7 linked regions of the Cricetulus griseus genome follow. The protein of the gene in region 1 interacts with the protein of each later gene in a pairwise test. Links are inferred from orthologs where the notes say so. Each region holds a gene or a part of one and is shown in the gene's direction. Other genes may lie near its edges.

What was found.
Region 2: the proteins of Creb3 (region 1) and Itm2b interact in a two-hybrid assay, tested with the Homo sapiens proteins (2 studies listed by BioGRID and IntAct). The two-hybrid records come from large-scale screens. The link is inferred for Cricetulus griseus from reciprocal best matches to the Homo sapiens genes CREB3 and ITM2B.
Region 3: the proteins of Creb3 (region 1) and Apod interact in binary tests that used the Homo sapiens proteins (3 or more experiments, as listed by UniProt). The two-hybrid records come from large-scale screens. The link is inferred for Cricetulus griseus from reciprocal best matches to the Homo sapiens genes CREB3 and APOD.
Region 4: the proteins of Creb3 (region 1) and Kcnk1 interact in a two-hybrid assay, tested with the Homo sapiens proteins (2 studies listed by BioGRID and IntAct). The two-hybrid records come from large-scale screens. The link is inferred for Cricetulus griseus from reciprocal best matches to the Homo sapiens genes CREB3 and KCNK1.
Region 5: the proteins of Creb3 (region 1) and Mfsd5 interact in a two-hybrid assay, tested with the Homo sapiens proteins (2 studies listed by BioGRID and IntAct). The two-hybrid records come from large-scale screens. The link is inferred for Cricetulus griseus from reciprocal best matches to the Homo sapiens genes CREB3 and SLC61A1.
Region 6: the proteins of Creb3 (region 1) and Tspan2 interact in a two-hybrid assay, tested with the Homo sapiens proteins (2 studies listed by BioGRID and IntAct). The two-hybrid records come from large-scale screens. The link is inferred for Cricetulus griseus from reciprocal best matches to the Homo sapiens genes CREB3 and TSPAN2.
Region 7: the proteins of Creb3 (region 1) and Cgrrf1 interact in a two-hybrid assay, tested with the Homo sapiens proteins (2 studies listed by BioGRID and IntAct). The two-hybrid records come from large-scale screens. The link is inferred for Cricetulus griseus from reciprocal best matches to the Homo sapiens genes CREB3 and CGRRF1.

What each region holds. Positions count from the first base shown.
Region 1 is NC_048595.1:99,953,673-99,958,048, reverse strand, and holds the start of Creb3 (cyclic AMP-responsive element-binding protein 3), read left to right. Parts: upstream 1-1,477; 5' UTR 1,478-1,637; intron 1,638-1,724; 5' UTR 1,725-1,733; coding exon 1,734-1,880; intron 1,881-1,967; coding exon 1,968-2,124; intron 2,125-2,205; coding exon 2,206-2,276; intron 2,277-2,394; coding exon 2,395-2,484; intron 2,485-4,376. UniProt on the Homo sapiens protein: Endoplasmic reticulum (ER)-bound sequence-specific transcription factor that directly binds DNA and activates transcription. Plays a role in the unfolded protein response (UPR), promoting cell survival versus ER stress-induced apoptotic cell death.
Region 2 is NW_023276807.1:227,861,234-227,864,862, reverse strand, and holds part of Itm2b (integral membrane protein 2B), read left to right. Parts: coding exon 1-53; intron 54-484; coding exon 485-595; intron 596-1,853; coding exon 1,854-2,004; intron 2,005-3,010; coding exon 3,011-3,096; 3' UTR 3,097-3,629. UniProt on the Homo sapiens protein: Plays a regulatory role in the processing of the amyloid-beta A4 precursor protein (APP) and acts as an inhibitor of the amyloid-beta peptide aggregation and fibrils deposition. Plays a role in the induction of neurite outgrowth.
Region 3 is NC_048597.1:58,142,601-58,146,853, forward strand, and holds the start of Apod (apolipoprotein D), read left to right. Parts: upstream 1-1,339; 5' UTR 1,340-1,353; coding exon 1,354-1,476; intron 1,477-4,253. UniProt on the Homo sapiens protein: APOD occurs in the macromolecular complex with lecithin-cholesterol acyltransferase. It is probably involved in the transport and binding of bilin. Appears to be able to transport a variety of ligands in a number of different contexts.
Region 4 is NC_048596.1:202,840,384-202,844,264, forward strand, and holds the end of Kcnk1 (potassium channel subfamily K member 1), read left to right. Parts: intron 1-2,996; coding exon 2,997-3,256; downstream 3,257-3,881. UniProt on the Homo sapiens protein: Ion channel that contributes to passive transmembrane potassium transport and to the regulation of the resting membrane potential in brain astrocytes, but also in kidney and in other tissues.
Region 5 is NC_048595.1:398,659,288-398,663,625, forward strand, and holds Mfsd5 (molybdate-anion transporter), read left to right. Parts: upstream 1-1,455; 5' UTR 1,456-1,628; intron 1,629-1,719; exon of another isoform or gene 1,720-1,843; intron 1,844-2,148; 5' UTR 2,149-2,166; coding exon 2,167-3,519; 3' UTR 3,520-3,724; downstream 3,725-4,338. UniProt on the Homo sapiens protein: Mediates high-affinity intracellular uptake of the rare oligo-element molybdenum.
Region 6 is NW_023276806.1:54,211,378-54,215,604, reverse strand, and holds the start of Tspan2 (tetraspanin-2), read left to right. Parts: upstream 1-1,366; 5' UTR 1,367-1,395; coding exon 1,396-1,476; intron 1,477-4,227. UniProt on the Homo sapiens protein: May play a role in signalling in oligodendrocytes in the early stages of their terminal differentiation into myelin-forming glia and may also function in stabilizing the mature sheath.
Region 7 is NW_023276807.1:202,871,064-202,874,692, forward strand, and holds part of Cgrrf1 (cell growth regulator with RING finger domain protein 1), read left to right. Parts: intron 1-2,992; coding exon 2,993-3,170; intron 3,171-3,299; coding exon 3,300-3,447; intron 3,448-3,629. UniProt on the Homo sapiens protein: Able to inhibit growth in several cell lines.

The sequences.
Region 1 (4,376 bases):
AATCCCTGCCTCCCAGTGATGGTGGCCTCAGGAAGTCTTGGGCTTAGGCAGTAGAATAAAGAAAGTGGAGTCCCAGATGTCAGCAGTTCTAGCCGAAGCCCAGGACTGTGGCCTGAAGTTAGTCTGTCGTCTCTGGGTAAAAGAAGCCTCTCTGATTACACAGCAATAAGGGACCTCACCCCAAAACAAAGGCAGCTACTTGCTGCCAACTTCTCATGTTTTTTACCTGTTCAACTGTAGCTGCAACCCTCAACCCCTAATGCTGCCACCAATTCCTAACATTAATCCTGACTTTAATTTCTTTCCTAATTCCCCATTCTGACATTTCATCTCTTTCATAGCAGACACCCATACTAATCCAGCTTTTAATTTTAGGCCTAAATCCCTCAACTTTTACCCTAAATACTGACTCCTAATCCTAAAGCTCATTTTTTACTTGCTTTTAATTCACCTTTTCACTGTTTATTCTTAATACTAACCCTGACAATGGCCTTTAGTACCTAAACGGGCTTCTAAGCCAATTCCTGTGGTTGATCCTTAACCTGATTCGGTATCCTGATCATGCTGATCCCTCCAGAAAACAAAATAATGACCTCAAACTAAATGTCACCTACACGAAACAGACTTGACTAAAGCAGCTAATGTTTAAAATTTACTCGAGCTTCGTAACCTCTGAAGGGATCCTCACTTCCTAAACCCGACCGCACCTAATCCCAAACTCACCCAAAGCTTTCCTAACCACATACTCACTATCTGCTAACACCAAAGGCCATCCCCGCCCAGTGCCTCAATGCCACCCCATTCCTCACCCTCCCCCCCAAACCTAGTCGAGGGAGAGAACAGCCTGCTCCCACGAAAGGGGCCTGCCTCGCGACACACGGCTAGCTTAATTCCAAACCCAAAACGAAACGCATTGGACGCTGACCTCCCCAACAGGACCGGACACAGGATATGCAGGAGGATCGGGGGCCCCGCCCGCCGCTTCCCGGGCTGGCCTGGCCCCGCAGCCCCACCTAGAAGCTCCGGCCCGGCCCGCCTGGCCTACCTGCGCTGCCCGGCTCTGCGCCCCGCCCGCCGGCCCGCTACCCGCTCGTTCTCCGGGTGGCTCTGGGGCTCCGGCCTCGCCCTCCCTTCGACACTCTGGTCCACTTCCGTCCTGGAAATGTCTCCCACCCGCCGGCGGCGCCCTGGGCCCGCGCTCTATGGTCGCAAAGACTTCAGGAAGCTGCTCTAGCCGCAGGTCTCGATGCTCGGGCGCCCGCAAAGCCTGGCCGCCCCTCCCCGGCAGGAAGCGAGGGTGCGGCGCGCTGGAGAGATCGCCCGAACCAAGCTGGTGTTCCCTTTTAGACTCTTCCTTTTTCTAGCTCGCGGCGAAGGCGGAGCCGGGTCCCTAGAATCCCCGCCCTGGGGTGTGGGAAGCTGTAGGGACGTCCCTATAATTTGCATAGCCCCCGGGACGTGGCGCAGCACACGAGCCACTTCCGAGTTGGAAGGAACTCCAAGTCCCAGGATGCCTTGGGGCTATGTGCATCACTTCCGTTGTGTTGGAAGCTGAGTAGAACAGAAGCTGGGAGGTGGCTGTGGTTTTAGTGTGACCGCAGGCCTTCAGCCTTGTAGCCCGGAGTAGAGTGACTAAGGTAAGTCGAGCCGATTTGACAGTCAGACCGAGGGGTCGTGTCTAAGGTTCGGAGATTGCATCTGTGTACAGGGATTTCTATCTATAGATATCCCAAATGGATCCTGGTGGTCAGGACCTTCTAGCTTTGGATCCTGGTGATCAGGACCTGCTGGGCTTCCTGCTAGAGGAAAACGGAGATTTGTGGGCTGCGACCGAGCAGGATGTGGAGGCTCCGCTGGACTTGGAGCTGCCGCCTTCCGAGGTGGGTGGGCGTTCTGAGTGGGGAAGCTAAGCGACGTCCGTGAGACCCAAGGGTACAAAGATAAATCAAGGCCTGTGAATTTGTTAGAACTCTGTGCAAGCACTGAGCGACTGGGAGGTAGAGGATTTACTGAGCTCTCTGCTCAGTCCCTCGGCATCGCTGGATGTTCTCAGCTCCTCCATCTCTTCTATTCGACATGACCACAACTACTCCCTCCCACAGGAACATGTGTCCATAGATCTAGGTGAGTGTGGAATGTTAAGTTATGGGGGAGGAAAGAGCTCACTGGCCTAGCTAGCCCTACTTTTTTCTCCCTACTTTGCAGATATTGGGAGCTTTGAAAAGGAGGGGTTCCGCGTGACTCCAATGCCTGTGGGGGATACAGTTACAGAGCAGGTACTGGACTTGAGTTTTCAGGATTATCCCACCTTTCTCGACTGAGGCCAAGGTTCCTCCCATTCTGCTCCCACATCCCCATGCAACTTTTGCTCTCCACTATTTCCTACAACCTTAGGAGATTTCTAGGCTGATGCTGACTGAGGAAGAGAAGAAGCTCTTGGAGAAGGAGGGGCTTAGTCTGCCCTCAGCACTTCCTCTCACAAAGGTAAGGTTCCTATTGGTGGAGTAAAAGCTGGAGGGGCAGCCTGGCCCCTTCCAGCACTTGGGAGGCAGAGGCAGGTGGATCTCTGAGTTCCAGGACAGCCAAGGCTGCACAGAGAAACCCTGTCTCAAAAAACAAACAAAACAAACAAACAAAAACAAGCAAGCAAACAACAATGACAACAACAACAACAAAACTAGAGGGGGATTACATGACCCAAGTAGGCAAATTCAGTTTATTTCATCTCAATAACTTGAAAAAGGACTGAGGTCAGAATCTAATCTAAGCACACTTGCTGCTATTGGGAAGCTGGGGCAGGTAGATAAATAGGCTAGATTCTAGGGCAGTTCTTGACCCTGTAGGGCTTACCTAAATTGTGGTGTTCCTTTCAAAATTACCAGTGTGTGGCTTAGTTGGGAAAGGCCCTGCTGCCAGGTCTATCCCCAGGACTCACATGATGGAAAGAGAGAACTGACTCCTACGAGCTTTCTGATCTCCAAACAAGCCCACACCCACATACAAAAATATAATTTTTGAATATCAACTAACATGAGAATAGAGCCTTGAGAAGGACGACAAATGGAGGGCTCTTACAGATTTCATTGTGGTCGTGGTACTCCATATCTTGCTCACGGTAGAGTTTGGGAGGCTGAACCAGTCTAACAATAACAGTTGTCAAAGCTGGGCATGGTGGCTCACACCTCCACAGTCCTAGCACTCTGGATGCAGAGGCAGAAAGGTCCTCACGAGTTCAAAGCTACTTCCTGAGTGCTGGGCTTACAGGCATATACTACTACATCTAGCTTTTATGGTAAACATTTTTATGTCATTTGCCTTTTTAATGTTTTCATGGTATCTTTTGTTATGTAGATGTTTATTTAGGGCAGGAGAATCAGGAGTTAAAAGGCCAGACTTAGCGTCATGCCAAGTTTAGGCAAGCAGAGGCTACGTGAGACACTGTCTCCTATCCCTCTGCCACCATTACAAGATGAGTGAGCGATACAGTAGTTTTAGTAGGAAGGAAAATAGAATTTGGAAATTATCATCAGTGGTGCTGTCCCTAGTACAGTAACTGTCTTTTCCTCCTTAGTCCCCCACCCATTGAGATTTGAATAAAGTGCTCTAACACTGAGCTACAGCCTGCAGCCCTGTTTGTTGAGAAAGGGTCTTGTGAGCCCAGGCTGGGCTGGCCTCAGACTATGTAGTGGGTAAGGAATGCCTTTGAATTGATCCTCCTGCTTTTAACTCCTGAGGACTAGATTACAAGTGAATGACATCATTCTTGGCTAGTGCCTAGGCTGTATCAGAGAATATGAGAATTAACACTTTATTTAGTTTCAATTTCTGAAAAAAAGTTGAAGTGCTTTAAAGTAAAGATATGTTCTATATAGCCTCAAAAATTCTAAGTAAATCCTACCGATAGAAATTATAAGAAAATTGATGTTGATTTTAGGATAAGGATGGATTTTTGTTATTGTTACATAAGACATAGTCTTATGTAGCTCAGGCTGGCCTCAAACTCTAGCCAAGGATGGTCTTGAAGTCCTGATCTCCTCCCTCTCCCCGCCAAGTGTGGAGATTACAGGCATGTGCTACCACACCTAGATTAGGAGGAATTTGTTTTTTAATTAACTAAATTAGAGGCTGGAAAGATGACCTCAGTGGTTTAGAGCACTTTGTACTCTTTCACAAGGCCCAAGTTCAAGTCTCAGCACCCATATGACAGCTCACAACTGTTTGTGACTCCACTTCCAGGAGATCTGACTCCCTCTTCTGACCTATGTGGGCACCAGGCAGACACATTATACACAGACATACTATAGGCAAAACACCCATACACATAAAAACAATATCAAAAACATAGTCTGGCTTTTCAGTGTAAAACACCTGGTCCT
Region 2 (3,629 bases), on another chromosome or scaffold:
TTCCAGAGTTTGCAGACAGTGACCCTGCCAACATTGTGCATGACTTTAACAAGGTGAGCCTGTCTGTGTCCAGGATTGTGGACAGCATAGGGCTCTCCAGGGTATTTGCAGTTTTAATATTTGCTAAATTCTTCTATCTAGGGTTTAGTTGGTACTTAAGAGAGAGGATGGGGAGAGTTGGTGACTCAGAGCATGTGTCTTGTGCCAGCACTGGGGAGGCTGAGACTGGAGGACCAAAACTTTGAGGCCATCCTGGTCCACACAGTGAAGTGCTGTCTCATGGGGTTAACAAAAATAGATTTAGGTTCCTTTCCCTCTGAGGCCTGGCCTTCCCATACCTCTCTGTCTGTGGCTTGCCTGCTGACCGCACCCAGTTCTTACTGAGATACAAGTGACTTATAAATTCTAAAGTGGGCCCATCTTGCCAGTAGCATTCTATGTATCTCCAGTACACTCATCTGACTGAGATATATCTTTTCTCCAGAAACTCACTGCTTATCTGGACCTTAACCTGGACAAGTGCTACGTGATTCCTCTGAACACGTCCATCGTTATGCCACCCAGAAACCTGTTGGAGCTACTTATTAACATCAAGGTATCAAGTGTTTACTGTGTCATGGAATTCCTCTTTGAAAAGTTAGCCTTCTCGGAGCTCACTCTCCTGGAGTGTAGCCAAGGGTTTTACAACAAAGTGCTGACACTTGTGCTATGTTTAATTTTTAATGCTTTAAATTTTGAAGTTAAAAACATTTTTAGCCAGGTGGTGGCGGCGTATGACTTTAATCCCAGCACTCCGGAGGTAGAGGAAGATGGATCTCTGTGAGTTTGAAGCCAACCTAGTCTACAGAGTTAGTTCTAGGATAGCCAGGGCTACACAGAGAAACTCTGTCTCAAAAAACCAGAAGAAGAAAAAAAGAAAAAAATTTAAAGCATTCAAAATGGGCTGGAGAGAGCCCAGCCGGTGAGAGTGTTTGCTATGCAAGCCTGACAGTGTGCGCTCAATCCGTAAAACCCACAGTGGGAGGAAAGAAGCAGCTCCAGAAAGTGATCCCCAACATCCATGCTCAGGCCTCCACATTCTATACACATGCACCTGCACATAGCACATACTGTGTACATGTGCACGTTACACATATACAAACAGTGCACACACGGACACTACACATGCACACACACAGAGACAGTATACTTGCATACACTGTACATACACACACTGCATTACAGATACTACACATGCATGAGACAGTACACATGCACATATTATTCACACAGAGAGACACTATACATCCACACTGTAATACAAACACACTGACACAGAGACACTACACATCCACACTATAATACAAACACACTGACACAAACACTACACATGCACACTATAATACAAACACACTGACACAGAGACACTACACATGCACACACACTGTACACATGCACATAGTAAATGATAAATAAAATGGAAATTTTTAAAAAATTAAAAATTTTTTTCATCACATTTAAATTTTCCTGAAGGACTAGAAAATAAATATTAACCAGCTACTTAATTCTGATGCCTCAGTGATGGGCATGGCTGAATTGTAACAAAACTGTATTGCTGGGTACAGTGACACGTGCCTGGACACAGCCCTGTCTTCTTGGGAGGTTGAGGCAGAACAATGATCTGAGTTCGGGAATTGAATGAAGATTGGCTTGGGCAACAAAGTGAGACCCCAATTCAAAAATCAAAACTAGATCTATAAAATGGAAAAATATTCGCAAACCCCATTTTAAAACTATCACCCGAGGCTTTGTCTGCCTTTCTTGTTTGCTCAGTTTGTGTTTTGAAAGTTTTGCATCACATTTTCCCACTGTAGGCTGGAACCTACTTGCCCCAGTCATACCTTATTCATGAGCACATGGTGATTACCGACCGCATCGAAAACGTGGACCACCTGGGCTTCTTCATTTATCGACTGTGTCATGACAAGGAAACCTACAAGCTGCAACGCAGAGAAAGTATTAGAGGTAAAGACAATCGCATAGTTCCTATGGCACTTAGGTATTGTGATTGATGTTGCTGCCACAGATGAGAAATGAAAGGGGTACTGAGTCACACTTGACTCATATTTCCAGAACTTAGAATCATCTTAATCCCAGAGCCACTTCTCCCAGATAAAGTCAGTCAGCACAAAATGCCATTGCCTTGAGATGCCCACCCATCAACCTGCATGTAGAAAAGTCAGGTTTGGGGGTCTCATTATTCAGAGGTCTCTCTTCAGCATTTCACTTGGATTCTCAGGGATCTGAATTCTCACGGGGCCATCCACCTTTTGGATCATACTGAGGACAAGCCATAGCCAGGTGACTTAGCAAGAAATGTAGGTGACGAATCCAGAGCATTGATATAACCATGCAGCTTTGGCCAGGCACGTAGCCTTGCTTTTCCCCCTGAACAGTAAGAGTAGCAGCATGTGCCCATTACAAATGCAAAACAAAAGTGTGTGCGATGATACACAAAGTCCACAGTGCCATCAGCGACACTGCAGTCTGATTTCTTGGGGATTACATCACCCAGTAAAAGTGCTTTCTTGGCCTCTTCTCATAACTTGTAATGACATTGTTCTCAGCTCAGGCTGCTGAGTCATCTGAAACCCACCACTTGGTTTCTTACATATAAGTTACTATCTTGGTTCATAATTTTCTAAAACCAGTTTGCTAGAATGATGTCCAACTGTCCTGGTGTGCAATTCTGCAAGCACACATGGGAGTGTGTGTGTGTGTGCAACACACATAACTAGGACATTCCCCAAACCTTCACGCTCATACATCTGCAAGCGGTTTGTAAAGCACGGTTACCAGTTGCTGTGGTGTCTGAAAAGATGCAGTGGAGAACAGCTTTAAAGAATGGAAATTGTGGGTGGATGTGGCGTGGCATACTTCTTTAAAGAGAAACTGAGAATTAATGTGAGTAGTTATCACTGAAGAACCAAACAAAACCTTTAAAAACCAAACCCTTTGTCTTCCCCAACAGGTATTCAGAAGCGTGAAGCCAGTAACTGTTTTGCCATTCGGCATTTCGAGAACAGCTTTGTTGTGGAAACTTCAATTTGTTCTTGAGCAGTCAAGAAAAGCATGGGGAGAAATTTAAAGCCACAGCATAGCCCTCCCCTTGTATTTTGTGCAGTGATTATTTTTTAAAGTCTTCTTTTCATGTAAGTAGCAAACAGGGCTTCACTGTCTTTTCATCTCATTTAATTCCATTAAAACCATTATCTAAAAAAAAAGAAAACAACCTTTTTTCTTTCTAAGTGTGTTGTCTTTGATACTTGATTTAGCAAATGTGTGGCATCCTAGTTCTCCATAGAGCTTACATATTAGGAATAATTTCATTTATCTGACCTTATGTGTTATTTCTGCAGTTCCGAGAGGAAGGGTTACCTAAGGAATTGTCATTTATGTGTGTTAAAAGGACCACAGTGACTGACTTGTAGATGCTCCCAGCCCTGCTCCCTTGTCTGTTAGCCTTTGAGCCCAGCTCTAATATTCCTTTAACTAAGCTGCAGTACTCTCGGTGTTGCATTTAACTACTTTAGAGTATGATTTCACCTTGACGTCTCAACATCCTAGGCCTCTGCTGTAAGAATATTTTA
Region 3 (4,253 bases), on another chromosome or scaffold:
CCCCCCACCCCCCAGAGCCAGTTGTGCCACTGGAGGACTTCTGTACTGAAATAATGTTGCATTCCTCACTTAGGCGACAGGCCTCCTGTGGTTCAATGCACATCCGCTGTGAAAAACACCCTCGGCGATGGGGAAACATTTGGGAAATACTGGCCTGCTTCTGCTCTTCTTAATAACAATGTTAGGATTCAGCTGGGCAAGGCAGCAGCTCTGTAATTCCCAGCACTCACAGGCAGAGGCGGGGAGATCTCTATGAGTTCAAGACTATCCCAGTCTACAAAGCAAGTTCTAGTCTAGCCAGGGATAATAGTGATAGTAATAGATAGATATCTAGATATATAGATATATAGATAGATAGATAGATAGATAGATAGATAGATAGATAGATAGATAGATAATTTACTGAGCACCTGCTTGGTGTCAGCCACTACTCTGAACATTTATACTTTCCCCCAGCTCTCCCTCTTTCTGAGAGGAGGTGTCTTCCCATGTCATTAGAGCTGGTCTTGAATTGGTGGACTCCAGAGCTGTCCCACCTAAGCCTCTCTAATAGACCCCTTCACCACCACCCCTGCCTTTATTTTTATCCCATTTCATTTTCACAAAGATTCATGAGACAGGCCATGACTATTAATCTTACTTTATAAGCTAAGAAGCAAAGGTCTAACTTGCACAGTTACACTTAGTAGGTGGCAGAGCCAGAATTGGAACCCCATCTGAGTAATCCTGGGTCCCCCACATACTGCTCTTGGTTAAGGCCCCTGGACCAAGAGTGCATTGATAGGACAGCCCAGCAAGATGTTGGCAAGAGTAAAATGCGGGGTCTGGGGAGCACTCCTTTATGAGTCTCATAGGACCGTTAATGTTGTGCATGATTTGGAGTTGAGCTTTCTCATTCACAGACCCTTTGACCTTCTGGTGTACCTCTTTGTCTATTCCCTTTTGTTCTGGAACATTACTTTTGTTCTGGAACATTACTTTTGTTAATGTTCCAGAAACAAATACCTACTGAATCTGACATTTCCAAGATTCTGGGATAATTCTGAGGGAAACTGGACAGGGTGCTTACCTGGAGAAATATTCAATGGGACATGGGAGGGTGTGGGTCCACGAAGGAGGCTAATCTAGCAAGAGATCAAGAGGAACCAGTGCTCTGAGGTGATGGCCTCACTGTGGCTGGATGGCCAGGCTGACAGCAGCTGCAAGACGCAGCTCCTCCTCCATGCTGAGGAGAGTGCCAGCTGAGGGACTAGGCCCTCCAGAACTCTTCATCACTGTGTGTCCTCAGGAGACTCAGACATCTCCAGCTGTGTTGTTTCTCCCCAGGCCTCTCCTGAGGACACCAGACCCAAGATGGTGACAATGCTGTTGGTCCTGGCCACCCTGGCAGGCCTCTTCACTGCAGCCAAGGGACAAAGTTACCGTATTGGGAAATGCCCGTCTCCTCCAGTGCAAGAGAAATTTTCCTTGAGAAAGGTGTGGTAACTCAGGTTTCTCTTTGTTTTGATCACACTGAGAGGTTCATTTTATTCTTTAATCTCCAAAGCAAGCCTTGGGGGAGTGTGGGGGTCTCTGCAGTCACAGGTAGCAGAGTAACAATCTGTGTGAGGCAAGAAGGAAATACGGTTCAACATGACCCAGGAGCTGGTGTTGGTTCAAACTTCTAGAGTCTGACACCAGGCAGATTTATTTTAGTCATATTTGAGTACAGTGTAACTTGAAAAAATTTTCCTGGTATAATACAACCCCGTGTGCACAAAGCTGTGTGACTACACCAAAACTCACTCAAAGTACATGAAGATGGGCTCTTTAGATAAGCTGCATGTGGTATTTTAAGGGACTGGGAGAGATTCTAGTGTGGTCTCCATCATACACATAGCACAGAAGTGAACTAGTCTATTAGCCACCTCTGGTCCTGGTTGAGGGAGCTTGGGGGAACCCCTTGGCCATACAGATAGTGCAAAGGTCACCTAGATTATTAATCACCTCCATTCCTGGTTGAGGGAACTTGGGGGAGTGAGGTATGGCTTGGCCCTATAGATAACACAGGGTTACCTAGGCTATTGGCCACCCCATCCCCAGCCTTCTGGGTGGAAAACAGGCTTCTTGAAAAGACAACCCTGTGTGTTTAGCATTCCTGGCTTCCCTATTGCCATCTATGAGCATAATGACCTTTGCACTCCCAACAGGAAGGACACTTACCTTATTTTAGCTTTTCCCTGAAGCGGTCTCTGAGGCCAGAAAGGGGGGAGGGGGAGTCTTTGGTACCTTGGCTTGCCTCAGAGATGGATGTCAACAGGCCACAGGAGCTCCCATGGCCCTGGCGAGAGAGGGCATGGGGTGGCAAGCATGAGCAGTGAGGGAATTGTCCCCCACTGCTATAGGGAAGTGGGGGTGAGGTTAGGAGATGTGAACAGGGGCATTAACTGTGGCTGGTTCACTACTCTTGTCCTACACAGAGGAAAGGAGAGTGTCGTCCTTGGCTGACACAGCTGGTACATGCACATCAGGTTCAAAACTAGTCTTCCTGTCAGATAACTCGAGACGGGACCTGGGAAAGGCCAGAAGTCCCCCAGGGGATGTTCTCTTGTTACCTACAATATAACCAGCTCCCCATAAATGCTTTTTCTTCCCGGAATGAGGCAGAGGGAGCCACAGAAGGGTCCCGCTATTAGATGACAGAAACTCAGAGGTCCTATGACTGAGAAAGGCCTGGATTCTAATCAAAGGCCCCTTCTTCTTAAAAGGTTTTGCTTGCTTTTAGGGAGTGACACACTTAGTTTGAGCAACACTGACATTATCAGTCACTGGAACTTTGGGGTGAGTGTTGGGAATGTTAGAGGGTGAGCTAGACAGAGCTGGGACGAAAGACCTTAGAGATTAGAAGGGTGGAGTAAGATGGCAGCGAGTGCCCCAGGTAAGGAAGGAAAAGCCACACTAACTCTGCACTGACATTCTTCATTAATATTTTAAGGATTCCCTTTAATTGAGTCAACCAGGAAAACCCCAAAACAAAAACAAACAAGCAAAAAAAAAACACATTTATGATAATATCCAAGGAATTTGAGTTAGATTTTAGTGTGGGAGTTAAAATGCCAAATATATCCTGGAAATTATAGCTGATACCTTCACTTACAGAAGTCCTTTGAGAACTGAAGCAGACTGATTTTAAAAGTTATGTGTCTGTCCGTCTGTCTGTCCCTGTCTCTGTCTCTGTCTCTGTCTCTGTCTGTCTCTCTCTCTCTCTCTCTCTCTCTCGTCTCTCTCTCTGTGTGTGTGTGTGTGTGTGTGTGTGTGTGTGTGTGTGTGTGTGTGAAGGTGCCTGTGGAAAGACTGTTGGATCCCCTGGAGCTGGAGTTACAAGCAGCTGTGAGCTATCCAAAGAGTATGCCCGGATTTGAACTCCAGTCCTCTGCAGCAAGCGCTCTCTTCAGCTATAAATCAGAAATTTTTTAAGGCATGAATTTTATTAAGATTAGTTTATATAGCATATTACTGGCTTGTTCTAAAAAGTTTTTATTTCAAGGATTTTTAATATATTCACAGTTATGCAACCATCATTAAATCAGTTTTAGAAGGCTTTTATTATCTTAAGAAGAAACCACAAACCCACTAACAGTCTCTGTAGCTACATTACTCAGACTTTTCATCGTTGTGACAAATACCCGAGAGAAACAACTTGAAAGAGGGAAGATCTGTTCTGACCCCTGGTTTCAGTCCTTTCGGTCCATGGTTCATGTAGCCCACAGGCTTGTGGTGAGACATGTCATAGGATACATAGTTCAGAAGGCTGCTTAGCTTATAGTGGCCAGTAAGTAGAGAGAGAAACAAGAGTGCAAACAAGAGCCATCTCTCCCAAGCATGCACTCAGTGGCCTCTTTCCCCTAACTAGACCCCTTCCAATATAGCAAATCCATTGGTTTGGTCAGAGCTTTTGGCATCCAGTCACTTCCTTAAAAGTCCCACCTCTGAACTCTGCTCACATCAGGACCAAACCTCCAAAGCAGGAATCTGAGGAGAAGCTTCACATCCAAACCAGAACGCCCCTCTTCTTTCCAACTCCGCCATACCCACACAACCAATATTTTACTTTCTGTCAATATGCGTTTGTCTGTGGAACAGACGATGCTAGCTTTTTGTGACTGAAGGAAATGTTTCAAAGGTTCAGCTGCGTTGCAGCATGCATCAATACTCCACTCCTTTTGTTGCCATATGACGTATGGATGATACTACAGTTTGTTTATCCTTTTTGT
Region 4 (3,881 bases), on another chromosome or scaffold:
CTGCAGGAGGGTCTCATACTCTTTATTGTTTCAGAGTGTGTGTGTGACTCAGGGTCCATCTCACAGCCCACCTGCCTCACTTGCTGATGTCTAGCTTGCCTCTAATTCAGTAACATGGCAAATCTCCTCAGTGTGGAGATCTTTTTGTATTTGTGTTTCTTTTAGTTGGGATCTCTCCAAGAAATAGGATTACCGGCCCCAAATGTACACACTTCTTTTGTGTGTTACAGAACACAACTCTGAGGTCCCCAAATGGAACACAAGTCCACACAGTCACTGGTATCTGAGTTCCCATCCTCTTTGGGTGGCATTGACCAAAAGAGTTCTAGACATTTTGCATGTGAATTTGATAGCAATATAGATAGACATCATCTTGACTTTTCTTTCAAGCTAGCAGGCAATTCTTTAATTTTCACTTTGCTTTCTAATTTCTTTGTGAACGGGAGGAGTAGAATGTCCCCGTGGTTGTGTTTGCTAGTTCAACTTTCCTGTGTGTAAATTGTCTTCTTCGGTCTCCCAATACATGATCTCCCTCAGCTTTCCACAAAACAATGAATCCTCCCATAACCTGGGCCTTTGTTACAGTGTGGACTGTGTTTCTCAGGCAGTCAGCCAGGACGGATTTTATGCTCTGAGTGTTCAGAACTTGAATATCTAAGGAATGAATGTTCCAAGGTGTAGGTAGGATAAAAATCCCACAGCTCGCTTGAAACCCCCTGGGCACTTCTGGCAATATTCCAGAGTCAGGTTAAATTATAACCAAAGAGAGAGTGAATGTGTCTACTTACTAGCAATGATACTGCTAAACACAAGAAAGTCCCTGTGGCACCAGCTTACTGTCATAACCAACAGTCAAATCCAGAGACAACAAAGCTTTGTCCTCCAAGGACATCCAGGTCCAGTCTCCTACAATGCAAATTTTAACGTTCCTCATCTGTGTGCTTTCTGGAAATCCTCCTTTCACATTTTACTACGGGGGGGGGGGCATAAAATGAGGACTTTGGCATCCCTCTCTGTGAGTTTATCTTTTTGTTTTTCTGAAAACTGATTTCTTAAAAAAAAAAATTGAAACTGACTTAAAATGACTATTTGCCCATCACAAGTTCCAAGAAATAGCAGTTATCCTTCAAGAACGAGAAAATTGTAGTTACATAGTGAATCATCCACATGCCCAGATGCTGACAGTGACATCGTAGGAGGTTTAAGATGCAGAAATTATGACAAGAATATTGAGTGCTCAGAAAGATGCTCACAAGATGTGAAAAACTTTCTGTGACTCTCTGATTCTAAGGCCGAGGAAGAAAGATGTCACTATCGTGGGTCATTTGACTTAGGCAAAGCCACATTAGCAACAATTGACTCCTCTAAAAATTGAAACCAGGAGAGGTCAGGGTGTTCAGCTTAGCATAGCATTAGTGGTGTTGAGCAGCAGGGAGCAAATTAAAAATGGCTGCTGTTGAGAAAGACAAGAAGATTTTTGTTCAGAAGTGTGGCCACTGGCACACTGTGGAAAAGGGAGACAAACATAAGACTGGACCAACTCCATGGTCTGTCAGGCTGCTGGATTCTCTCACACAGATGCCAACAAGACCAAAGGCATCATCCAGGGAGAAGATTCCCTGATGGTGTATTTGGAGAATCCCAAAAGTACATCCCTAGAACAAGACACACGGGTGTGGGCCTAGGCCCTATCCCAAAGGATACGAAAGACTCTGATGACACCCTATGGAAGGCCTCACCATCCAGGGGGAGCAGAAAAGATATGTGACAGATAAGGTTTTAGTTGGAGGGATAGGGGAGGACAGATGGGAGAAGGGAACTGGGATTGTCATGTAAAACAATCCTGTTTCCAATTCAAATGAAAAAAGTTGGAAAAAAAATGATCTTTGCTGGAACTAAGAAGAAAGAAGAGAAAGTAAACCTAATGGCTTAACTTAAAAATTTTACTAACATGTAATACCACCTGCCTTATTTATTACAAAAAAGTCTCATGGCTTTTAATGTGTGCCATAATTTAATTCATACATCAGAACTCAGATCATGAATGGCCAACAATGTTTTGTGTTGGAAAGTCCAGATTTAGGTAAAACTGACTGGTGGTAAAGTGGATATGATCTCTTTTAAAATAACAATTCCAGTTGCGTAAACACTGCTCTCCCCCAATCAGTAATATTCAACTTTCTACAAAGATGGTGGTGTCACTGCAAAACCAATTGGATGGTCTCATACTTAGATTTATGAAACTGGGCATATGGATGTGTTTAAATACTGGGGAAATGCTCTTACGGCCTTAGAACCAAGCAGAAGATGTCTGTGCTTCTGTTTGTGTTCACTGGCCTGTTACAGGCCATGGTTAAACTGTCTATTCTTGACAATGCCGATTTAATTAGGATGCCCTTTGTCAAGGATGCTGCCTTTTATTGCTGAGAGGTGTGGTTTATGTATGATATCAAATAAAGAGTGTTCTTAAAAAAATTGAAGCCAGGACTGGGGAGATGGCTCAGCAGGTAACCGTGAGCACAGTATGCATGAAGACATGAGTTTGAATTCCCAGCTCCCACATAAAAAGCAGGGTATGGCTGTCCACCTGCATCTTAGTGCCAGCTGAGGTGGAGATAGAATGATTGCTAAGGCTTGCTGGCTGCCAGCCTAGCTCCAAGTTTAGTGAGAGACTTTGTCTCAAGAACTAAAGCAGAGAGTGGTGTCCTTGGGCCTCTGTACACATATGCATGGGCATACCCTCCTGCTATCGTGAAGCTCACATATGCAATTGAAGCCTGCAATTGTGACTAATCCAAGTTCATTGATGGCTAAGTCATTTCATTCTTCTTTGCATTCCTCCATGAGCTGTAGACTTCAAACATCCCTTGAAATAAACTGGCAGTGGACCTGCTGGAGAACTCTTATGTGTGGCGTGGGAGGAGAATAAGTCATTGGGTCTTGATTTTATGGTAACTAGGTCAAACCGAGCTGCTGCTGTGTTTTCTCCCTTGCAGGTTACCTTCTCCTCGGACTCATTGCCATGTTGGTCGTCCTGGAAACCTTCTGTGAACTCCATGAGCTGAAGAAATTCAGGAAAATGTTCTACGTGAAGAAAGACAAGGATGAAGATCAAGTTCACATCATGGAGCATGACCAGCTGTCCTTCTCTTCCATCACTGAGCAGGCAGCCGGCCTGAAGGAGGATCAGAAGCAAAATGAGCCTTTTGTGGCTTCCCAGTCGCCACCCTACGAGGATGGCTCTGTGAACCACTGAGCGTGGGCCATCAGACCCCGGACATGAGGCAGAGCCTTGACTGTGTCCATTTTTACAAGAAGGTTGAAGCCAAGATGATGTTATTTTAAGAAATATCTACTGTTAACAATAAAACAGGGAACTTTGGGCTCTGGGGGTGGGTGTCTAATCCCTGGGCAAATGAGATGTATACCTGTAATTCAAAGAAGATGCAGTCACCTGGACATCACACACTGGGGACAAATACTTGAAGCAGTGTACTGCAGTGGATGGAGGCAGATTTTATATGTAACTGGGGACTCTCCGTTTGCATTCCAATCATTTTGCCGACAGCTAAATAGCAACATTTATATTTAAAAACAAACAAAAATCTATAGAGATGTATTTTATAAATAGGTTTACGTGTCCTGGCTTGCATGTGCCTATCCTAAATGATTATTTTTGTAGAGTCTAAATTAATTCTATTTATAATGAATAAGTTACCATCCACTGTGTACATAGAACATATAAATATGTTTATATCCTGTATATATGTGTAGGCTACCAGATCTCCCTGTACTTCTTAAACCAAGATAAGGAATATTTTTTTTTTTGATTTCTCTTTCTATTAAAGAACTCAGAATTGCCACAATGAGCTAGGAGGCAT
Region 5 (4,338 bases), about 300 Mb from region 1:
TCCAGGACAACCAGGGCTGTTAAATAGAAACTCTGTCTCGAAAAACCAATATAATAATAATGAATCTTTAAAAAGTATTAACTTAAGCCAGGCGGTGATGGTGCACCCCTATAATCCCAGCACTCGGGAGGCAGAGACAGGTGGATCTCTATGAGTTCGAGACCAGCCTGATCTACAAGAGTTAGTTCCAGGACAGCCTCCAAAGCCACAGAGAAACCCTGTCTCGAAAAAAAAAACAAAAGATTTACTTTTTTATGAGTGTGAGCCTATGTGATTGTATGCATACTACCTTTCTGCAGGCACCTTCGCAAGTCAGAATAGGCTGGTCAGATCTCCTGGAGTTGGAGTTACAGATAGTTATGAATCACATACTGGATGTCGGTACTGGCAACCAAACTCTAGTCCTCTGCAAGAACAGCAGGTTCTCTTTATATATTAATCACTGAGAATTCTCTCTAGGCGTTATTATTATTATTATTGTTGTTGTTGTTGTTGTTAGAAATTTATTTTTTGAGACAGGGTCTCATTCTTGTCTAGTCTTGTCTAGCCCTTACTATGTAGCCTAAGTTGGTCTTAAATTCTAGGTAATTCTCTTGCCTCAGCCTTCCAAGTACAAGGAGTACATGAGCCACCATGCCTTGGTAGGCAGTCTTCTCTAAAAACATGCAGGAAGTAATGTGCTGAGGCCCAGGTGGGAGCCAGTAGGCAGGGTGGTAGCAGATGAGGTCATTGAAGTAGCAAAAAGCCCTGGGACAGATGCATTTGTATGCCATTAGAAATATTTTGACTGCCATCTTTAGTGAAAAGGGAAGCCACTGGGGGGCTGCAGGACATAATATTGAGGCTGAAGGAAACTTAACAAACATCCCAAGATAAAGCAGTTCCTAGGTAGAAGGAGGTGGGAATTGAGCTCCAGGACTGCAGTTTTAAACTCTGCGTTCTCACTGAACCTTTAGCCTTCTTCATGTGGGCACTGGCTGCTGCTCTCCTATGAGTTCACACAAAGAAAGTGGGACTCGGAGGGAGAAGTAGGGAGGCTAGGCTAAACTGGTAAAGTGCTGGGTAAGACTGGAACCTCAATCTATGTGCAGCCGGGAGTCCAAGTTTTTTACACCACACCGCCTCCCTCAGGTGTCTGGACAACATTGACTGCGGGCCTGGGAGGTCTTTAAGGGAGATGCCTGGAGTAGCCTGGGCTTAGGGCAGTGGAGTTCATTAGCAAGAGGTAGCCGCTGGCTCTCAGGGACTGCAGGCATCCTTCCGAGGTACCCCGTGGTGGAAAACAGAGAAAATACGTTTTCATTTGGGATGACCCCGCAGGTATCCGTGGGTTGGAGGAGCGAAACAGCCCCAGAGCCACCGCCACGAGCTGCAGCCCCTTCCCCACTGGCTCTTCAGCGCCAGGGCCTGCGGGGTAAGGCGGAGGGGCGTGGCTTTCTGCAACCCGCCCCCGTCACGTGACAGGGCCATCATGGCGGCGGCCACGGGCCAGCCCGGCTCCCGGAAGCAGGCTGTGAGGGGCGGGCGCGCTGCTAGAATCCGAACGGAGCCGGAGCCAGTGCGGGGAGGGCGGCCCGGCGGCCTGGTGCCGGACGTGTCCGGAGCGTCCCCGCAGACCGGGGCAGCAGGTGAGACGGGAGCCGGGCCAAGTGCGAGCGGGTGAGGGACGCTAGGTTGGGGCTAGGGGGCGCAGGGGGTTAGCGTGACCCAGGGTCGGGGGAACCTGCCATGCACGCGCGTGACCGTGAAGCAATTGGAGAGGCCCTGCGCGGGCGGAAGGGATGCTCGGGATAGATGTGGAGACGCTTGAGCTCCAGGACTGGCTCATCGGCGAGGATGGGAGGTAACAGAAGAAGCGTGCAGAAGCTATCGTGGGGAAGGGCAGCAGCCCCTTTATAACCTGCGGGACCGGGATTACTGAAAGGAGTCCCACTTTGCTGTGCCAGGCCAGGGTGGGGCGAGTGCTCTGGCCTCTCCCCCATCTCACCCTTCCCTGCCCCACAGAGTCCTAGGTGACAACCACTCCTCCCACCCACCCGACTGGTCCCTCCGGTCTCAGCTCTGGGCGAGTGGAATTGACACTGGAGTTGGGTGGAGCTGTGCTACCTGGATTATGGATGTGACTATAACCAGTGTTCTCTTCCCCAGGTCGTCCGGGGGCCCACCATGCTGGTGACTGCCTATTTGTCTTTTGTGGGCCTCCTGGCCTCCTGCCTGGGCCTGGAATTGTCAAGATGCCGAGCCAAGCCCCCTGGAAGGGCTTGCAGCAACCCCTCCTTCCTTCAGTTTCAACTAGACTTCTATCAAGTCTACTTTCTGGCCCTGGCAGCAGACTGGCTCCAAGCCCCCTACCTATATAAACTCTATCAGCATTACCACTTCTTGGAGGGTCAGATTGCTATCCTCTACGTTTGTGGCCTTGCCTCCACAGTCCTCTTTGGCCTGGTGGCCTCCTCCCTTGTGGACTGGCTGGGTCGTAAGAAGTCTTGTGTCCTTTTCTCCCTCACTTACTCTCTGTGTTGCTTAACCAAGCTCTCTCAAGACTACTTTGTGCTGCTGGTGGGCCGAGCACTTGGTGGGCTGTCTACTGCTCTCCTATTCTCAGCCTTTGAGGCCTGGTACATCCATGAGCACGTGGAACGGCATGACTTCCCTGCCGAGTGGATCCCAGCTACCTTTGCCAGAGCTGCCTTCTGGAACCATGTGCTGGCCGTGGCAGCAGGTGTGGCAGCTGAGGCTGTGGCTAGTTGGATGGGGCTGGGACCTGTAGCACCCTTTGTGGCTGCCATCCCTCTTCTGGCTCTGGCAGGGGCCTTGGCCCTTCGAAACTGGGGAGAGAATTATGACCGTCAGCGTGCCTTCTCCAAGACTTGTGCTGGAGGCTTGCGCTGCCTTCTGTCTGACCGCCGTGTGTTGCTGCTGGGCATCATACAAGCCCTGTTTGAGAGTGTCATCTTCATCTTTGTCTTCCTCTGGACTCCTGTGCTGGACCCACATGGGGCCCCACTGGGCATTGTGTTCTCCAGCTTCATGGCTGCCAGCCTGCTGGGTTCTTCCCTGTACCGAATTGCTACCTCCAAGAGGTACCACCTTCAACCCATGCACTTACTTTCCCTTGCTGTCCTCATTGTTGTCTTCTCTCTCTTCATGTTGACTTTCTCTACCAGCCCGGGCCAAGAAAATCCCGTGGAATCCTTCATCGCTTTTCTACTTATTGAGTTGGCCTGTGGGCTCTACTTTCCCAGCATGAGCTTCCTTCGAAGAAAAGTGATCCCCGAGACAGAGCAGGCTGGGGTTCTCAACTGGTTCCGAGTGCCCCTGCACTTACTAGCCTGTCTAGGGCTCCTTGTCCTACATGACAGTGATCGAAAAACGGGCACTAGGAATATGTTCAGTATATGTTCTGCCGTCATGGTGATGACTCTGTTGGCAGTGGTGGGACTCTTCACGGTGGTCAGACATGATGCTGAGTTGCGGGTGCCCTCACCCACGGGGGAGCCCTATGCCCCCGAGCTTTGATTTTTCCAGGGCAAGGTGCCTGGAATGGACTCTTGAATCTCACTTACCCACCTGTATGACTTTGTGACTGACTGTTCTGCAGCCCCTCTTGCCAGTGCTTTGTATTGGGAAGAACATGGGGGGGATGGACTGGAAAGGTGCCAAAAGTTGACTGTGTTAGTCCTTTTCCCCTTGCTGTATAAAAATAAACACTTTTAATGGATCATTGATTTGATTTACTGTACCCACCTCAGTTTCTGGTGAGGGGGCAACTGGAGATTTTGAGGTAGAGCCGGGATTACCAGCAAACACTTTATATTTCTGATGTCTTCAAGTCTGTCTCCAGTCAATCAGAGCTGTGAAATGTCTCTCAGCAGAACTGGGTAGAGATGTCCAGAGGCTAATAAAGTCTCCATTCTCTTGCCTGGGACAAGTACTCTATCCAGTTGTCAAGCAAAACCCTTGATCTACATGCAGGGGAAGATGATCTCTTGAAGTTGTTACATGGTGCTGAGATCTGAACTCTAGTCTTCATGATTATGTAGCAAGTGCTTTCAACCACTGAGCCATCTCTCTAGCTCAAAGGGGAAGATGATCTTTGAGCATGTGGCCAGTGCCCTATATGTCAGGTCATTGAACAAAGATTCCAGAGGTTTGGGTACTTTACTGCAGTGATTACTCCATTAGGATAAGGTCTTTTCTCTAGGAATAAGCTTGCTGATCTGAACAGGAATGCTTGCCTGTCTTCTGCCTTTGTGGCTATAAATGCCCCGTTTGTCCAGGGCCATGTGTCCCTTCATGAAACATAAGCAAAGGGCTTCCAAGAAGAGAGTGTTAAAA
Region 6 (4,227 bases), on another chromosome or scaffold:
TTCAAACTCTCCAGACCAGGGGTAGCTGTTGAAATAACTTGCCCATGATAATATCTGTGGTTGTCCTGTTTAATGATGGGTTTTTGTGGCCCTGTCTGTTCCTTGTACTGTGTTTCAGTCCCCATTTCCCCCTTTTACTTCGTGTGTGTTTATGCAGTAAGTTCACTTGTGGTCCCCAAACCTACGCTGTCTTATAACATTTTCTTTCTTCCTTCTTTTTGATTTTCTTATTCCTATTTAAGATAAAGTCTCACTGTATAGCTAGTTCTGCTGGTCCAGAACTTACTATGTAGACTAGCCTGGCTTCTAACCCACAAAGGATCTCCTTGCCTCTGCCTCATATGTGCTGGAATTAAAGGTGAATGCCATCACTTTCCAGTTCTTTTAATTTTTTGTTGCTGTTTTGGGGACAGGGTTTTGCCATGTAGCCCAGGTTGGCCTAGCACTTGAAATGTAGCCCGGGCTGGCTAGCACTAGTTACATAACTCAGGCTAGTTACATAACTCACAGTAATCCTCCTGCTTTAGCCTTCTAAATCCTGGAATTACAGGTACACACTATCACACCCAGCTTTCTTTCTCATTGCATTTTTGGAATGCCATGTGTATAACTGACCCACAAGACCACCTAGCAGTTGGGTCTGTGACAGGCTGGCCTTGAATAGATTCTCGCCCAGTGGCTTCTCTGTGGGACCCAGAAAATTTCAGAAGTGCTAATTCATCCTCTCATCTGAATCCTTGCCTCCTAGATCATAATGGATGTTCCATTAAGCCTTTTGTTTGTTGGTTTTTGGGTTTTAGTGCTCTTACTCATTTGTTTTTAGTAATTACCACCAAGGTTCAGCTCACTCTGTTGTATGAAAAGTCCATTCCTAGGCCAGTGAGGTGGCTCGGTGGATGAGGGTGTTTACCACCAAGTTTGACAATCTGAGTTCAATCCTTAGGACCCACGAGGTGGCAGGAGACGACAGACTTCCAAAAGTTGTCCCTTGGCCTCCACACACTCTCTGTGGCATGTGCATGTGTATGCCCTGCCCCTCACCCACACACAATGCATGACTAATGTGAAAACAAAAGTCCATTCCTCTAAAAGCAACAGCATTGCTTCCTATAATCCTGCTAGGTACACTGGTGGTAATCCCTCCCCTAGAAGGAGAAAGGCCACAACAATGTTCCTTCACTGCTATAGTGATTCTCCCCGGCCCTCATGGGTCTCCAAACCCCTCCTTGTCATCCCTACTGTGCTCCTCAGTCACCTGAGCATTTTTCTGTGGCTGCTCACTGGCAGCCAAGCAACATTCAGCCTCCTGCCCACTCCCACCGAAAGATGAGTTAAGTTCCTCTCTCCCCTCCCCGGGGGGGCCCTGCAGCGGCCTTCCCAGGATGATGTCAGGCCATGCCATGGCTGTCCTGCACTCATGTGACGATGATGCAATGTGCTCCCCAACCCTGGTCTCTTCCTCAGCATAGCATGGAGGTAAGAGAAGACTCTTATCCCTGTGCTGTTCCTTCTGCCTCAAGCTTTCTCAGCCCTTGATTTCTTTGCTACTCCAGAGGTCCACCTCACTCTTCAGGATCTAACTCGGAATGGGGATGACTGCCCACAGGTGGTGTGCTCTGCGTCCTCCCCTGGTGGCGTGTGTTCTTCCTCTTCAGCACGGCTGCCACATCTTAATGCCTCTCTTCCTTTATGTGATTGTCTGACATGCCTCTGATAAGGAGCTCAGTACCTGACCTGGGTTGGGCCATGGTTGATTGTTACTGAAAGCACAAGGAAGAAAAATCAGTGAATGGAGATAGAGGTGGGGTGCTCTCCTTTCTTGCTTGCTTCAGCCTTAGCTGAATGTAGATACAGTATGTCTAAATGCAAAATGGGCTGAAATTAAAAGCAGTGTGACATGGGAGACGTGGGGCTCTACTGAGTTAAAATTTAGGACTGAAAGCTTCCCTTAAATGTGGGGGAGAACATCTTCCAGCTATAGGGAATGCACATAGTAACAAGAACCTTGTGTGACGGGAAGCTTGCTTCCTTTGCTCTTGACTGGGATGGAGTTAGTGTGATTTTTTCCCCCCTTGAGCAATTTCTAGTGTGCAGTACACCAACCTCAAGGGCAACAAACATGGAATCTCATGAGCCTGACAGGGCTGGAGCATTCAGAAGGGCAGAAGAGTTACATAGTTGCTGCTGTGCCTTCTTCTGAAGCAGAGATCATTCTGCTTCTCCTCACAGAAGCCCTGGCCAGCTGCTTACCCACACGTCCCTAACACAGCCCATAGCACTCGGGGAGGATTCCCTGCCACACAGTGAAGACATTCAGCTAAGCCACAGTTTCCTTGACCCAAGGAGGAAAGCCTTGTGTGTGGTTTGGGGTTGGGGATGTGGATGAGCAAGCGCAGATTTTTTCCCCATTGCCCAGTGGCTCTAAATTGCAACCTCTCTTTTCATTTTCCATTATGCCTCAAACACATCTGTGCCAAAACTAGACGAATGGATTCTGTCTGGGAGGATGATCCAGACAGCTATAAATTAGAGTTTGTGTTCAGAGATTCCAAAAATGTGGCCTCGTGGTAGGGTGTCCCTGAGACTAGTCACCTCCTCCATAGTCTGTGTGGTGGCTGCTGGTTTGGGCCCAGGGCCTCCGTCAATAGATTTTTGCTTTGTGTTTGGAAACTGTCTTTCCATTAAGGCACTAGAGAGGCATGAAAGCAGGGAAGCCTGTGAGGTTTGCTGGGCAGACTCATCCCAGGCAGCCCCAGGCATTTCTAGGGACAGGTTTAACCGAGGACAGTGCTCCTCCCTGCACATAATAGCCAGGGACCCCAAGGCTGGCACCTTCAAGAAGACTCTCCAGTTCCCATATTGGACAAAAAAGCTAGTATGCAATGCTTCTCAGAAAGCTATTTTTTTCAAGCCTAGAAGACTGATGCATAATTGATGGAGAGCCCTTAGAAGACAGAAGGGAAGCATCACCTGCAATTCCACCCTTAAAGATAAATAATGTTATGCCTTAGCATGACTTCATCTCATGTTTCCACATCAGCCTCTTCTTTTAAAAACCCTTTCAAAAGACAGTTGAGGCCAGCTGTTTTAGCCGCCCCATAAATTACCCCGTTAGTGTCCTCTCTAAGGGCTGGGAAGCCTTAGTTATTCCACATGGGAGTAGCCAGGGGGTAGAGCCCTCACTAAAGGCAGGCCTGCATAGTTCTTAAGAAACCAGTCACACAGGGACTTGGCTCTGGGAAACAAGAGACGAAGAGGAGGAAAGCCCTCATAAATATAGCCAGGTAACCTTGCCAGGGTAGCACACATCCCTCTCAAGCAGCCCTACAGGAGAGAAGGAACCTGCCCAGGAAGGCCTCTGGCCTAATCCCCCTGGATTTTTCCTTATTACACCTCTGCTCTGCATTCTCTCCTTGACTTCTGCTGCCAGCATCTTGGGGTGCTCTCCTCTTTTCAGATAAGAGCAGACCCTCACTGTCTGGTGAAAGGCTAGGGCTGCCCAACAGTAACTAAAGAGTTAGAGATGCAAGATGCTCTTTTTACATCTCTGCTGATTTCCCCATAGTGCTTTGTACTCACAAGGTACTCTGTAAATAACTATTAATTGATTGATACAGCGATATTCAAGAGTGGTGTTGTAGAGAAAGCACCTTGGCTGGAGCCTGCTGGCCTGCAGTTGCGACAGTCCTGCGATTGACATGCAGGGCTGCCAGCTTAGACATGGAGCCTGTGACAGCCTTCAGCCTCAGGAGAGGAAGCCTGGTGATGACTCTACCAGCCGCCAGCCTGCCCAGCCTCTGCCTGTGCCAACCACTCAGCCTCTCCATGAGCCACATGGCAATACAGACCCTGCTTTTTCAGAAAAATATTTTTTCCTTTCTTGCTTTCCATGGAAACTCAAAATAGCAACAACAACCAAAAAAAAAAAAAAAAACCTTTCCCCGTCTGCAAAACCATGCCTGGGCACAGGCAGGGCAGTGGGCACCATGTAGGAATCAAGAGAGGGGTCACAGGAGTCTCCGAACAGAGTTCTAGTTGGAAACTTTGTCATGAAGTGTAGGTGGGCTCCCAGGTTGGTGTGGGTTTGTTTGGGTTTTCTTTCTTTTTCTTTTTTCTTTTGTGTGTGTGTGTGTGTGTGTGTGTGTGTGTGTGTGTGTGTGTGTGTGTTTTGTTTTGGTGGTTTTTTTTTTTTTTTTCTAATTTAGAAGGTGGCTTCCCCCAGGTCTT
Region 7 (3,629 bases), on another chromosome or scaffold:
ATTCAGGCAGAAGCAATCTCAGGTAGAGCCAGCTCTGCCAGTGTTTGAGGCAAATGAAAAGACAGGGGTGCATTCAGCTGTGCCCATGTGCCGACAGTCTTCACTAATGGAAGAAGCAAAAGTGTTCACTGAGAGTGTAGCTATTAAAAGAACTCACTTAAAAAAAAAAAAAAACCAGTGGGTAGCATTTCCTGTTTGTTTTTTGTGGAGATGAAAGGAGGATTTTGTTGGAAGTTATAAGAACAAAGCTCATGGAAATGTAGATATCCGTAAGTTATCTACACAATGGTTATAAGGTTATTGTCTTTCTTGCACAGATAGTTTAATAGTTCAGATTTTTTTTCCCACCTCTGTATCTCAAGTACCTGACAGATCAGGTAGGAGTGAGAGCAAACATCCAGACATGATGTGACTTGACAACAAATGAGAGAATCACTAATCCATTTGCTAGGACAGGCTGCTGGGATTTTGTTGTTGTGTAACAGTGTTGTGTTTGGATTTTTGTTCAATTCATGTCCCCAAATAGAGACTTTACTGAAACTATAAGTTAGATGCTCAGTACATATTAGTTGAATTGGATTAATTTGCTTCAGGAAGTCTGTTGTCACTTTGCATGTATCTCCCCCCTACCCCAACCCACTTCATTTTAACAGAACCAATAAGAGCTAACATAAAACAAAAGACTTAGGCAAAGCACATGTCAGCATTTGGAGAGCTGTTTGCTAAACTCCATATCCTGCACCATTTCTTCTCCAGGTGCCTTGCCTCATCATCCTCACATATGGTCTCTGAACTTCACTGCTCACAGGAACTGGATGACTTTCCTGCCTGTCGCCCTTATTAAATGGCTTAGTGCACTGCACTCAGAGCCAAGGATATCTCTGGCACTGTGTGCTGTTAGCTGGGCTGGTTGCGGATGGTTGAAAGAGATCATACCCGCTTGGCTTTGACCTTTCTGATTTCCAGCTGCCCCAGTTTTGTTAATGATAGTCATGTAAAACAGTTTTATGTGTGCACTGAAATTTGGAAGAACATGTGAAAGGGGGAAACTCCCTACAGAAGAGGAGGAAAAATAAAGGGAGAACAGTTTTGTAAGGAAGTATGTGACCTGTTATCGGGTGACACCCATACAGGATGGATGGTCAAGGTCCTGACAGGTTGTGTGGTGGAGAATTCTGCGGATGCTGTGGCTCTTCTTCTTTATCTTCTAGTGCATGATTCCTTTTCAGTTGTCAGTCAATCAATACCTGGCTGAAATCCAGTAAATATTTCAACTAGAAATTTAATCCAGTTGCCTATGCAGGGTTCCTGCTAATTAAAATTTGTGCTTGATTAATTATATGTGGTCCTCTGTCACTGCCATCATACTGTTATCACACATAACCACCAAAGTAGAAGAAGAGTAAGGGAACCATCTTGCTCATCCTGTGAAGCATTTGCTTGAATTTTGTGTATCTTCCCACAGTATTTTCTCTTGATCACATTTTTTTTTCTGGTTTTTCAAGACAGGGCTTCTTCTCTATGTAGCTTTGTAAACCTGGCTGGCCTCGAACTCACAGAGATCCACCTGCCTCTGCCTCCCGAGTGCTGGGATTAAAGGCGTGCACCACCATTGCCTGACTTGATCACGTTTTTTAAAATAGGTGACAAATCAATCACACTTCCTGTTATAAGCAGCAGAAAAGGCACACTGAGACCTGCAGAGTTCCTGGTGGATCTAGGCTAGGTTCAGAAGCTAAGTGTAGCGCTAGGAACAGTGACCCATATTGCATGTAGGTCTAGTCAAACACATCCGCCTCTGAGCAGCTCCCCTTGCCAACAAGATGAGACACCAGAAGTCTTGCTCTTTGAACTTGGTATGCTTCAACTGCCACTAGTAAGGAGAGAAAACAATCATGTTGGTAGCACTTAAAGTACTATGTAAGCATAGAATCCATATATAAAACCACACATGCAATTTGTATGGCACTTAGTTATCTACTCATCAGGTCTACTGACATTGTAGCCTCCTTTTGTTGAAAGCAAAGAGAAAACAAGAATATTGCTATTGAACCTTCCATGGTTGGCATCCCTAACCATTCCTTGGGCTGTTCTGTATACTTGTAGAACACTATCCCTGTGGTGGACATTAACACTGCCATTGTGTGTGACGGTAAATCTTTCCGCCTGCCGCTCGAGTTCTACCCGTCACGTGGGTGGCCAAAATAACACACAGAGATTAATATTAGGTACAATGCTGCTGGCCAATGATTAGGATTTCTTAATCTATATATTTTATAAAGACTTATCTGATTGGATGCCAGTGGCAGGTGTCTTGCTGGGATCACATGGCAGCTCCAGAGCAGAGAGGAGGAGGAAGCAGAAGAGGGTGACTTCCTGTTTGTCCCTGCTTATATTCTGAGTCTGCCTGCTACGTCACTTCCTGCCTGGATCAAAAGACTACTACATTTCCCAGAATCCTCCTTGACTCCTAGAGTCCCACCTATCTTTCTGCCTAATTGGCTGAACAGTGCTTTATTCAACAACCAGTAAGATAAACATGCACAGAAGGACGTGCCCCATCAATTGTGTATGTTAATAATCAAGTGCAGTTTCTTTTTAGTGTTTTTCTTACTTTAGTGATCTGCATCCGGACCCTCTGGGTTGTTTATAACCATTTTGGATGGCTCCACTCTGCTGTTTTGACCCTTGTGTTAATCACACAATGATTGCATATATTATTAGGAAGAGATGGTTTTAGTTACCAATAGGAAAATTGGACCAATCATTTTAAAGACAATAATTTTAAAGAATAATAAAATGTTACTGCATTGCTCAAATTCTGCATAACTATTGACATTTTTATATTTGTAGATAATATCCTTCAACAGCGTTTAAAAACTGCCATCAGGTTGGCCATCGTCCAGAAAAAAGCCTGTGTTTCTCACACCTTGGTATTTTAGTATCTGCTATATTGGGTGACACCCATCTCTCTCTGATTTGTTTTCTATAGCTGGCGTGACCTTGACAACAGATTGCCTTGAAGACAGCCGTCTTACATGCTTCTGGGGGTGCAGTGTCCAAAGGCTCTATGAAGCTCTTCAGAAGCACAGGTACTGCTTCAGGATAAGCACCCCACAAGCGTTAGAAGAGGCCCTGTACAGCGACTATCTCCACCGGGAACAGTATTTGTATCCTTTTCCCAGATACACCCACTGGCACAGAAACAGGAGGCTGTGGATACAGTAAAGTGTCACCAAGTTATTGACTCTTTAAAATATTTTTGTTCTTTTGGCAATTTGCCTTTACGTATTCAAAAGTATTAAAAAGCACAGCAAAGAAGAAATATATTGCCAATTACCGAGAGATACTGAAATTGAAGACTTTGGTCCAGTTCCCAGATCTCGCTATCCGTTGGTAGCTCTGTTGACCCTGGCTGATGAGGATGATCGGGAAATTTATGATATTGTAAGTAATTGAAGCATCTGGAATGCCTTACCTTTACCAGATTTGGGTGACTCTTAATTATTTTTGAAATAGGAAAAAATAATTTCTGAAAACATTTTTTTTGGACTTGGACACACATGTCTTGAAAATTTAAAACATAGATATATCCCTGTTTAATTTTTGTATCTGTAACACACCTTCAG